2 linked regions of the Nothobranchius furzeri genome follow. Each later gene encodes a partner of the first gene's protein in a complex. Links are inferred from orthologs where the notes say so. Each region holds a gene or a part of one and is shown on either strand. Other genes may lie near its edges.

The links.
Region 2: the proteins of dlat (region 1) and pdk3a are in contact, whole or in part, in a crystal structure (PDB 1Y8N), measured with the Homo sapiens proteins. The link is inferred for Nothobranchius furzeri from reciprocal best matches to the Homo sapiens genes DLAT and PDK3. Residues at the interface, in NP_001922.2 of Homo sapiens: Ala225, Leu226, Ser227, Pro228, Thr229, Glu248, Gly249, Lys259, Ala260, Ile262, Glu265; in NP_005382.1 of Homo sapiens: Arg21, Phe22, Ser23, Pro24, Ser25, Pro26, Leu27, Phe48, Lys51, Val55, Asn373, Lys374, Ser375, Arg378.

Annotation. Positions count from the first base shown.
Region 1 is NC_091750.1:45,047,455-45,054,760, reverse strand, and holds the start of dlat (dihydrolipoyllysine-residue acetyltransferase component of pyruvate dehydrogenase complex, mitochondrial), read right to left. Parts: upstream 4,074-7,306; 5' UTR 3,926-4,073; coding exon 3,683-3,925; intron 2,221-3,682; coding exon 2,119-2,220; intron 2,044-2,118; coding exon 1,919-2,043; intron 1,828-1,918; coding exon 1,674-1,827; intron 1-1,673. Other genes in the region: dixdc1b (dixin), read right to left, coding at 6,265-6,274, 6,358-6,437, 6,566-6,674, 6,771-6,867, 6,955-7,018, 7,106-7,258.
Region 2 is NC_091747.1:54,906,162-54,911,597, forward strand, and holds part of pdk3a (pyruvate dehydrogenase (acetyl-transferring) kinase isozyme 3, mitochondrial), read right to left. Parts: intron 4,457-5,436; coding exon 4,379-4,456; intron 4,305-4,378; coding exon 4,228-4,304; intron 4,125-4,227; coding exon 4,023-4,124; intron 3,943-4,022; coding exon 3,835-3,942; intron 3,727-3,834; coding exon 3,613-3,726; intron 1,933-3,612; coding exon 1,812-1,932; intron 184-1,811; coding exon 101-183; 3' UTR 1-100. UniProt on the Homo sapiens protein: Inhibits pyruvate dehydrogenase activity by phosphorylation of the E1 subunit PDHA1, and thereby regulates glucose metabolism and aerobic respiration. Can also phosphorylate PDHA2.

The sequences.
Region 1 (7,306 bases):
GAGGCTCTTTTATGCAATGTCAAGAATGCAGAACTGTCAAGTACACAGGTGGCAGGAACGGCCAATCACATGTTAGCAAGTATCAGCAGAGCCAATAGCTGAGCTTATGGACGGTTCTAATAGGAAACAGGCTTCACCACAAGCAGTTGTTTTCCGCTTGGTCCTAGTGCTCACCCAGTGTCTATTTAGCTTCCTGGTCATAACAAATAAAAATCATCGATTTGCCTACGCTACAATAATTATAAACTTTTACAAGCTGATGAATCTCAAAGTAGGTGACTGGCATAGTTGAAACAGTGTTTCAGAAACACCCATCATTACTTTTCATTTAAACTGCAGTACAACGTGTGTGTGTGTGTGATCCAGGGCGTAAGGCAAGGCAGATTAGAAAATAGCGTTTTTAGCCCCGTTGACTTGCAGTCATTTTTTCGTTCTTCCGGGGACCCGTGAGCCGACCGGAAAGGGAGGAGACTTAGGCTCCCTATAGCGTTATATTGTTTTTGGACAGTAAAAAGTGCAGATGACAAAAAGTGACTTTGGAAAAGGTGGGGGGACATGTCCCCAGCCCAAAACTACATCCATGCCTAGGAGCATAACTTCCAGCAGAATGACAAGCACATCAGACCCCCTTTCATCACTGGTAACGAGTGAAAAAGTAAATGTGTAAAACAACATTTATGAATGGTGAACGTTTTGCAACCGTTTGTTACAAATCAATAAATACGTTTTGTCCTCACAGGCTGCCGTAGAAGTAAACGAGGCATCTAATATGGCATCGCCCAGAGACTTAGACCCGCTACCGTGTATTTTAGACCAGATTTTTATGGTGATATGTTATGAAGCCGCAAATGTTTTTCAACAACTGGGCATTGTGTTAAACAACATTTGATGGATATTTTCAGAGAATACCGGAAAAAACTACAAATTTTCTCATTAAGCAAAGATGTGTGTGAGCAGTATTGCTTTTGGAGCCTTCTGATATGAAGGATGCTGCTTACGACTCTCTCTCAGTGAGACTCAAGAACCACATGCTGTCTGTCTGGGCTTGAGAGGGGAGGGCCTGGTGACAGAGCGTGCCTGGATCGGTGTTGTTGATTGGTTGGGAGTCTAGTATTAAGCAACCTGATAGGCTCAGGCTACATGAAAAAAAAGAAATCGACGTTTTGATTGACCCATTTCTTTCTATCGCACCACATGTCTATCGAGTTATATTGTCCAGCCCTAGCATCAGTTGTTGGTATCAGTGACCTTTAAGCAGGCTGAGAAGGTGGAAAACATCCAGATATCAGCCCCCAAAATCTGCAGCTCATAAAATAACCATGACCTCTACATCAGCATCGGTATCGGGAATGGAAAAACCCATTTTGGTCTAGTGGCAGCCATCTTGAACTGGACTGACTCCAAAAGTAAATCAGTTGTAGACGACCCTCTGATGACAGTTTCACTAAAATCAGTCAAGTGGTTCATCAGAGAGGTTACTGTCTGCTATCCAGTCGATGTGGTGGAACTTTTATTTTTATGGAAGCAAATCCATCCACAGTCATAAACGTGTGTGTGTGTGGGGGGGGGGGGGGGGGGGGGGGGTCTCTGCTTTCATTTTCGAGGAATTCAAGCTGCTGTAAGAATCCCTCAGCTCTTTTATGCCACCAGAGCTCCCATCACAACCAGCCTACCTTCATGTGGGGGGGGTAGGAGCTGCCTGGTGCTGCTGGAGGAGCAGCAGCAGCTGATGGAGGAGGAGCACCAGAGGTAGCAGCAGCAGGAGTAGCACCAGCAGATCTGATGGAGTCCAACGTTACATCTTTAAAGGCTGTGATTAGATCTGGGCTGCAGATGAAAACATATTAATTATTATTAATATTATAACTTTAATTCACCACACATAGATCTAAACGATGTAAATGATAAAGATACCGACCTGTCGACGGTGATGCAGATGACTGATCCAACGACGACGTCTCTGGTGCCTTCAGGAACCAGGATCTTAGCCAGATAGCACTCCTCCAGCATCTCGAACCCTACAGTGGCTTTATCAGTCTCCACCTACACACACACACTTTATTTACTCAACAAATCGTGATGATATTTCAGTTATCTATGATCCACAGAGCTCCTAACCTCAGCGATGAGGTCGCCCTCACTGATCTTTTCCCCTTCCTTCTTCTCCCAGCGAGCAATGGTCCCGGTCTGCATAGTAGGCGAGAGCGCCGGAAGCTCCACCTGATGAGCCGGAAACAAATCCAGGTAAAAACAAACAAAAATACGCTTCATAACAGGAGGATCCCAATCCAGCCGAATGTCAGGTGATGTGAGCGCAGCTGCAGTGTCACCCCATCCCAGCTTAATGAATGACCCACAGGCCTGATTTCCTCACATCTGGGTGGACTTTATGGTCACTGCTCTGGGTCAAGAGACATCCAATAGCAGAGATAAGCAGCAGCTCCCAGCGGAGGGTTCCCAAATAAGTATGCAACAATCCAGGAACACAAAATCAGGGATCAACCAGGACCCACTCCTTTAAATGTATGTGTAGCGTGGATGGATCGTGTTTTCAGCTTCAGCAGATTGTTGAAGTCTTTTTCTAATTACAGCTTCTTGAGATAAATCAAAATTGGCCCAAACTTATATCAGCAGAACCAGAATCTCATTTTTACCTGATAAAGTTCTCATTTTTGTTAGTAAGCTGTTTTAAAACAACTCGTCTAACTGTTGTGAACAGAAGCTTTTTGAAAACGTCAACATAAAAATCTGATCTATTCTTTTTGAATAACAGTGAAATGTAAAGTAGATTCTGACGACAATCTGAGCATCTTTCTGCAATAAATGCATGCATCATAGGTGTTTGTTAAGAACAGAATAAACATGTAATAAAACAAATAAGAACAGTTAAAGTAGTAGTTAAAGAAATGATTCCTGCATTTAGACAAAGAAACGTTTTGTTTTTTCAGTCATTCATTCAACCAATTCAACCAAAATCTCATTACTTCAATTATAAGAAAATAGTTATTTATTTAGTTTAACGGCTAAAACCTAAAATGTAAAAACATTGTCTACATGTTCAAAGTAAAATCACCAGGAAATGTAAGTAATACAATAAATAAATAAACGAGATCTGTGTTTCAAATTCAATTCAAATTCAAAAATACTTTATTAATCCCAGAGGGAAATTGATAACTCCTGATCACTGTTATTCATCTGGGCGAACACCCATCCTGTTCTTTAAGCTTCTCCTTTTGGTTGTTTCTTTCCTTTCAGGCCATTTTAAAGTAGTTTATGGTCAAATCTCATGAATATTTATGAATATAGCGTCTGGATCTGATTCACAGAGTTTTAATGCTGAGAATCTTTAGTTTGTCCTTGTTTTTCTATTATTAGTGTGAGCATCATCACCGCCCCTAAAGAGCAGATTTCAGACATCCTTCCTGGATATAAACACCAGCGGGATCTATCTGCTGGTGGAGATGTTCTGATGGAAACAGCAGCAGGTCTGCTGCTGCAGCACATGTTTAGAATTATTTAGAGTTTGAAACATCTGATGTTTCATCCTTTAGCTACTAATGGACACATTACACCGCCACCGCCTCGTTATGGAGCTAAGTGCTGCTGTTAGGTGTACAGGTGTTTTAAATCTATCGGTACCGGCTCTGACCCGGTGCCAGAACCGGACAGCGGTTAACGTTACCTTCTGGTGCGGCGGCAGACTGTAGAGACGCTTGCTTTGGCCGCCGCCAGCCGGGCGGGGACACCGCACAAAGGTCGTTCTGTGGCTGAAGCCCAGGGCCACTGTTCGGTGTCCGCTGTGAAGACGCCTGAGACACCCGGTTCCGGACACGGAGAGAGAGCCGAAGGCAGCAGGCCCAGCCGGTAGGACACGGGAACGGGAGACACCGGGACACGGCCGGAGCCGCAGCATTAAACGAAGCATTCTGCTGCGTGTGGAATCGAACACCTGTCTGATAAATAATTTACCTGCCTCACAGCGGCATTAGAGACGAGCTGGCAGTAAAAACCCGGCGCTCCGACTTTACTCCTCACTTTCTAATGACCTCCTCCTGTCAAAAACACACGCTTTACGGCACTCCTGTCGCTGCTTCAAATCAAGTGTCGTAAAAAAAGACACTTCAAATGAAACAAGATACATTTCACACGAAGCCATGATTATAAACAAACAGTGCTAGTTGTGAAATATTAAAGCAGATTACAAATTTTGTTTATTTAAACTTTAAAATATTTTAGATCTACAAGGTCAAACGGTGTAATATCCTCAATTGCCACACGGGGGCAGTAAAAACAAGCATAACCCAGCAACTCTACTACTTCCAGTTCATTTTGAGAATTCTTTACATTAAAACTTTAATTTTAATAACTGACCTGGTTTTTATAACCAAAACAAAGCAAGGTCTACGACTGTAAAACATCTTATTTATTAAACACATTAGAAAACATATTGAGTTGTGACCAAATAAGCAATATCAATATCATTTAATCAGACAAATCTAAAATATATCTACTGATGAAAATACAGCGATGGAAACCAGAAACATAAGACTGCTATGAAAAAAAATCTGTTTTATTTCAAAATATCTAACATTCCTCAAAACGATTTCTTCAACATGTTTTAATCAGACAGTATCCATGTTTTGCTAAAGAAAAAATCTTTTAACAACATAAGTGCAAAAACACCATCTCGTAAACTCTATATTTACAGTACAGGCAGTTGCGGCATTAAAAACATTCTCATCACATCTCCTCTCTTTGTGTTGGCTCACGTTGACCTAAACTGGAAAAAGACAGGAAAAGATCTGATGTTTTTTCAAACATTTCAACTCACAAAGACAGGCGCATTGCAAGCTTTTCAAAAGTGTGGGGGATGTTGTCTGTGGATGTCATCAGCTGTAAATTGAAACTCAACCCCAATCCAGTAACGGGTCCGCGCATAATTCACAGTAACAAAGCCCTTCCAAAAACATGCTAAATATTCACCAATCAGTGCTTAATTTGAGCCGGGTCTTGCCGGAACAAGATCCAGGAACTATCTTATTTTGAAACAACCGTTCCAGCAACTGTCTGCTAGGATCTGGCAACTCACGCGACAAACTTGTGCTATACAGAGGATTCGCATTACGGGTGAGCTAGGGAGCTTCAGGGGGAGCCAATAACGATCCGGGTTCTACTTATATTACATTATTCATGTGGCCTCTCCAGGGATTATTTTGACCTGAGAGGTGCAGAGCTCTGATCGTTGATGCGCTCCAGACAGATGCGTCCTGAGCACGGCCACAGTAAAATTCTCAAAGTGTCACCACCTCAAAAACAAATTTAACAGGCGATCATTCATGTCGGCTCATATCCTGAAGCGGGGAACAGTGAAGATGCAAAAACTACCATTGTTAGAAGGTTTCTGCCAATGTCGGGTTTCAAGGAGAAACAGGAGAGGGAGGGGGAGAATGAGATGAGGCAGAGTGAGTGCGAAGTAGAGAAACCAGACTGGTGTGTGGAGGTGGGCAAAACGGCTGGAAAAGTGTGGGTGTTGAACGATCTCAATAAGAAAAGTGGGTGTTGAATCCCCCACATCCCCCAAGGGTGCCACGCCCATGCATAAAGACTCAAATACAAACCATAAATAAGCTGATTACAAAACAAGGCTCCTCAAAACATTAAAAATTGCACCCAACAAAAACCAAATGAAGGTTTCAACTAATAATCTCTATTTGAACAAATAACAAATATTTTCATTTCTTCAAATAATAAAATTGTGGATAAAATCATAAAACAAACCCTGAAGTTAATCCAAAAGAAGTGATGCTTTTGTTTTTACAATGACATCAAAACACAGACGAGCCTAAAATACATTTAGACCTTAGTTCTGTTGACAGCAGATGCTCTTTTCAGCCTACATTAAACTAAAACTATAAACAGAAAAGTGTCTGGATTCAGGTCATGCACTCGTGTAGACTCAACCTCGCACTAACACCTCTATCAGAACATCTGTTCCTAATCTTTAATGAATAAGTGGCTAATGCTGCTGATTCTGATGCACCATTGTACCAGACTACACGACTGAATCTGGGGTCTACGAGGCCTCGCTGGTGCACGACACCAAACACAGAGAGACTTTCTGTCTCACCTCCCGGAGCTAACAGCCTGAACCACAACACTACTGCTACAGTTACGGCCTGAGTTCAGGCATCAGCAGGGCGAACAGCTCTGGTGGTTGTCTCTGGGTGATGAACAGCTGATCGATGACACATCATGGCTGTACACCTACAGCGGCCTAAAACAGAAAGAGAAAACAAGCTTGTTTTAAACCAGAGCTAACATAATTAAAGGAAACCCTCAGACGTGACATCCTGTTACCTCTCCTCGCCACCATCCTCTTCCAGCCAGGCCACGATTTTTCCCTCCCAGCCTGGAACGACTGCTCCATCCAGAAACACCTTGATAAACAAAGCAATGACTTCACATAGTGTGAATGTTTAGATCTGCTGCAGCACAGAACCAGACTCATCCCACTGAGAGTCCAGTGAAACCCTGCTGTGGCTGAAAAACCCCAGCTGTTCCTTACCTCCTCTTTCACCGTGCCAAACTCCGGGTCTAGAGCTTTGAAATGATATCTGTAGTTTCCCTCTCGATCAACAGCTGCCTTCACATCTCTGAGCGTCACCTCACCAAGCCTGAGCAGAGGAAAATCCCTCTCCTCTAACATCTTACAAATCTGAATTCTGACGTTAAGAACGCGGTGCTGGTGTGTCTGAGACGACCAGACTCACCTCTTGGATACATGGATCATGGAGGGTGTCGGAGATTTACCAGTAAAGTACAGGATTTTAGTGGAAGGAGGTGGGTTACTGTGAGACTGACGACTATCTGAAACCGAGAACACAAACATCTCCCTTAGAAAAGGCCCAAATAACCAGTGCATAGTCTGATGTGGAACTGGGACATGTCTCTTACTGGTGGAAGGCCAGGAGTCCAGATCTGTGTGTTGACCTTTGCGTCGTGGGGATTTCCCTCTTCCCTGCACACATGAGCGTGATCATTCAGCAGGTCAGGACCCATTTTACTGTTAGTTTGTTCAGACTCAGATGAGTAAAGCATCCCCCACCCTGTTTGTATGCAGGACACGCAGCCTGTCCATGAGGGACACTATTCCCTGCTCCAGAGTGTCCAGCGTGTGCTGCTGGGGGTCCTGATCACTGAAGTTGTTCCTCAGACTCCTCAGAGCATCTCGGAGCAGCTGAACCTCCTCTGCCTGCTGCTGAGGCACAAAAACAGAATCTGAGCTGTAAATTTTTAAACAAGTCAC
Region 2 (5,436 bases), on another chromosome or scaffold:
CCTTCAGTTCTATTAGACATCACTTCATTTACAGCAGATGTGTCACTGAGTCCCTCAGGTTGACTGGCAGGTTTTCAAAGGCAGTGGCAGTGATGAAACTCTACAGACAGGCCTGAAACATGGAGAACCTACAGGACATGGAAGCTTTCCAACACTCAGTCCTTCTTGTCACGTCAGAAGAAGCTGGAGGAGAAAAGGGAAACGCTTCAGGTGGATGAAACGTCCCACTGTCTGCTTTAAACACGCGTTCAGGCTTGAACTCGCCCTTTTGAATCATTTAAAAATAATTCAGTCAGCCTAGAATTTGACTTGGTTATTGATAGTTTCAAATAAGCTTAGTAAAGTGCCTCAAAACATTTAACAAGTGAGAAAATATACAATTGTTATCCTACATTTCAGTGCCCAGAAACATTTTAGACTTCTTTGACCGTATTCTTATCCAACAGCTCCTCTTTGTGTGCCACATGACTTCTCCTTGTATAAATAAGAAAATATATAAAGCATACAGTTGACAAATTATAATTAAACTATCAACCACTGAACAATCTGTCAGCTACCAATTCACTTTAGCTGCACCTTCTAAATCATAATAAAACAGGTGGATTTTTAAAATGTACAAGCTTTGTTCAAACTCATTCAGAAGACTCCAGAGATTCGTAGCAATTCAAGTCAGGCACGGTGAAGTCCAAAGCAGGGTTAAGTTAACGGGTCCGAGCAGCAAGCGTGTCACTTATCATGGCAGCAGCACAAATTCAAGACATGTAGAGCTGCATCCTTTACTCAGAAGCAGCAGGTCCAGTTTGTTCTACGAGGGGTTGAACAATACGTCTTGCTGGTGTTGTTGCAGCCACTCAGCAGACAATGCTGGAATGAACCGGGGTGTTTTCACACACCCGTTTGGTCCTGTAAGGCTGGACCGTGAGCAAAAACGTCCAACGAGAATCGACATCCTCTGTCAACAGTGAGTGGCTGGTTAACTTTAGAAAAGAAAGCTAAACAGGTCAAATAGAAACACAAACTCGTACGTTTTTATCACGTATCCTATAAAACAGCTCTAGCGCAACCTTGAAGGTAGTTTTAAAAACATCACCCGTTCCTCATATCGGGCTTCCTTTTATTTATTTATTTTAAGTTCTAAAGCTTTAAAAATAATTTGAACTTTATCCTTTTCTTCCTCAAAAGGTGCTAGATTTCAAAAATGTTCTCTGACTGAAAAAAAAACCCATAAAGGAGTGCAACCAAGACTTTGCCATGCTGAAGACACACTGGCCAGTCAAGCGTCCTTCTTTAAAAGAAAAAAATAAATAAAAATAAAAGAAATGAAACCTCCTCCTCTTCTTCTTCCCATTTTCACTGACACTAACCTCTCCCTGTGTTTTCAGAATGAGAAAGCATTTCCCGATGTTGAGAAACACTCTCAATCAGCAGCGTGTAGCTTATTCAGCCACAGGGAGTAAAAGCTTGGTCAGCAAAGCCGGGGCAGGCCAAACTGCACGAGACAGAGGGAGAGATAGCAGTGATGCAGTGAGTTCAGCTCGATGGTCATGATTTCTACATTTGTCACCAAAGAACACGGCCATTTACAAATGGGAGATCACTGGGAGAATCTAGAGGAGGTTCAATGGACAATGAAAGCTGCGTTAAAGATGGTTATTGCCACTGGGTGCCAATTTAAGTCACCATAGGGATGTTAAAGTGAGTCTAATCCTAAACAAACACTCAGAGGCAATGGTTAGGTGTGCATGCTCCACGCCGAGCGCTACGCTAGTGGGCCAGACAGAATTATCTGTTGGCTTTGTAAATGGACTTGCTGGCATCTCGTGGCTCTTTGCTGGGGTTGCTCCAGTCGTCCGCCTCCGGACTGGTCTTGTAATGGCGCCAAGCTGACTTGTTGAATACAGGCAGGCGCTCAAAGGACTCACTGGAGAGGGCCTTTAGATGGAGAAACACAACAGCAAAGACATGACTAAGTATTGGTCTAGAGTTGTTGGTACCATCTAACGTGAAAGCTGTTATAACAAATCTGCAAACAAGCTAGGTTTTGAATGCAAACATTGTCATGAAACACTTGGGTATTTTCCCTGAGACGCTTCTGCCAAAACCAAAAACCCGCAATGCTGTATGAAACGAGATGGCGCTAAACACTAGTCATCATTTCTAGGTCCAAACGTCTTTTGTTGACTGTGACTTCACATAGTGTTTTTCCTTTTGGGACTCTGGTAGTTTGACCTAAAGTTAACGTGGTAGCAGCTGGCCGTTTCTCCTCGAGTGTAATGAATGGAGGACCCAGGGATGGGCGGCACATTTGCGAGACTGACAATCGGATGCATTACTGGCAATGTGTTTTAGACAAATGCGAGAAAAACACTCTTATTTTGTGTGGAATCCTTGGAAGCAAGCATTGCGCATTCCTGTATTCTGGAGGTCTGGCATGAAGGGGATAACTGAAAAAAAAAAAAGGGGGGGGGGGTTGATCTTTGAATTGTTTTCAAAAAGTAGCTTGCCTGAACTCCTATCCTAGCTTTAATGTATTAAAAGATGGGCTAATTAGCTTAGCAGTAGCTAAGATCAAACAGCAAGTTTTCACATGTAGGTTGAAATAAGCAACATATTATATAGTTAAATACAGCTCATGATCCTGCAGGTCAAAGGGCAAAAAGGTCATAAGGCCTCCTCCTCTGGGCTCCTCTACAGACACCAGCTTTGTGCCGCATCCTTTTGTCAATAATTTCTCATTATTAGCAGTGTTTGGAGAAACTAGAAAACCACACGAAAGTTGTGCGACTTCCTTCCTTTGTTCTAAATTCTCTTTATCTTTGGTTTCTATAATTTCACAGAAATGCCTTTAAATGTTCCAATGAGCCTGGACTAAATATTTGTCCTTTCAGCCTTCTTGATGAAAAATCCATTTCATTCTTGGGGGCTCATCCGGGATCGTTGATTTTTGGGGCTTTTCACAAATTTTCCTCCTCCCCCCCCCCCCCTTCTTTGTTTTCTGTGCATCCTACCATGTTTAAAATGGAGGTCAAACTGGACACTGTTGTTGCTCGTCCTATCCTTTAACAGTTTGACTGTTGCAAAAAGCAGAAACTGTTATTTATTCACTAAAGAAACCAAATCACAATGCAGCCTCACAGCCCTTAAATAAAAAGACCCTGTACTGTTTGAGGAAGGTAAGCATTATTCTGACACCTTCCTTCAGCCATGTTATGGGCACACGAATGGACAAAAATGCAACCAGTCCAGTTCTGATGAAATGACACGCCCCTCTTTAATAAGTTCCTGGTTCTTCTAACCTGTTGATGAGTTTCTAAAAGCCTGCTCTGTCATTCTGTATTCAGATAAAAACAAACTGAACTTTTCAGCTGCTCAGTTTTGTAACCATACACCAAAGCCTGAGGTGTACTTCTTCCTGCTTCCTATTTTTATCCACAGCAAAGCTACACGCCTTCTTACAATAGCACTCAACAGAAAGAAAAATCAAGCCTCAACAGGAAACAACGCATTTTTAAATGCATAAACACTGTTTTGAACTTCAACCAAGCTAAGTAAAATGTATTTCAGAGACAAACAAAACGTCAACACTTTTCACATTATGCTGAGTCATGTCACCTTCAGATAGATGACTGCATCTGTGCCCACCCCCTCCATGGAGTAGAGTTTCAGATCCCCCTGGAAGTATCGGGCATAGAGCCGTGAAATGGGTAAACCGTATCCAAATCCAGCCTGAAAAGTAAAAGAACATTTTTATCACACGAGTGTGTGAGATAAGAGTTTTTATTCTTTTTAATCAGCAGGGTAAACACTGATATTTGTTTTTGTTAAAGCACGAACCAGCGGGACAGCTCCTGGCTCCAGGCTCGGCGTCGGGGCAGTGGAGTACATGTAGTTAAAAAGTCGGTCGATCTTCCTCAGAGGAACGCCTCCTCCTCGGTCACTGATCTTAAAAGGAAATATCTGGAAAGTTACAAAGGACAAGCAGAGGCGAAAAGGTTCAAATAACGCTTCACTTGTTTGTTTACCTTAATTGAGAGATCCTCTTTCCCCAGAGTGACTCGTGCCTTTACAGGTGGAAGTCCCTCTGCGCTGTTCTCATGAAGCTCCACCGTCGCCCTCATGGAGTTCTGCAAACACCCACAGAGTTCAATCATTCATCTCCTTCTTACATTCCAATTAATTACATTTAAAAATCGGAGAACCGGTGGGTGCAAAAGCAGCTCCGCTCACCTTGAAGAGCTCAAACAACATGTGGAACAGATGGGAGGGCACGTACACCACCTGGATGGGCTTTTTTGGAGCCTTCACTGGAGGCAAGAGAGACAACTTAGCACCAAACACACATGCAGCAATTTGGGTGGAAAATTAAAGGAACTCTTACTGTTGAACTCCTCAATCTTGAGTTCGGGGGCAGCTAAGTAGTACTTCTCACACAACATCTTGGCAGTGTCATATGCATCTGATGGAAGAGCCAAAACGGGATGACTCAACAAAGTCGGAGACGCCGAAACTAAACAGTTTTAGTTCTGATCAGACTCAACAAAAAGCAGTCAGACATCTGAACAAAGACGTGTGAAAGGGGGCAGAGCATGTTGGTGGTTAGATCCCCGGCCCTTCAGGCAACAACACACTATGATCTGTCTGCATTTATGAGTGAGTGTAAAGAGAAGCTTGAAGGGAAAATTATGATAGGAATATATTCAACGAATGAAAGCAACTCACAAAGTGGGACGTCACAGTTTATCCTTACTGGTCATGATTTCCTTAGCTGGGTTACACGTGGGCCATGTGCACATGTAGCCGGGATTTTATAAAAGCCAATATCCTCCCACACCCATCTAGAAAATAAAATGGGTCCACACCACCTTGATTTCCGGAAAAACATCCAGTGCATTCCGGAGTTCATTCAGAAGCATGCCAAACCTGTAGGTGGCAGCAGTTCCCAAACTCTTCACCTGTGGTCTACATAGATCAGTAGCTGAGATTTTAAAAACAAGCTAGCGTAAACAGGTAGCACGAGATGTCGGCAGTGAGGATGCTGGCTATTTACGTCAACAAGCAAATCCCGACAACGGAGATTACGCTAATCTCCACTTTGGTCGGAGGTTTTGAAAGAATACTTTTAGGTGCCGTTTATCATCACTTTCCTGTGGATCACAGACCGAACCGTAGAAACAGATCATCGTTTTGTGGGATAACCCCCTCTGTGTGTACAGGGCCTCAGGTTGCTGTGACTTTCTAGGTTTTTGGCATGACAGAGTTAAAAACAACCTTAACATTTGGTCCGAGACTTGTTCAGGGTTGTTTTCACTAAACCTCAGATCAGACTCGTTTAAACTCCTGTCATTAGAGGGACTCAAGAGTCGGTAACTACAGGCTTCTCCGAGGAAAACACACCACTAGGATGCCAGTATTTTCAGGTTGCAGTGCTCTTGGCTC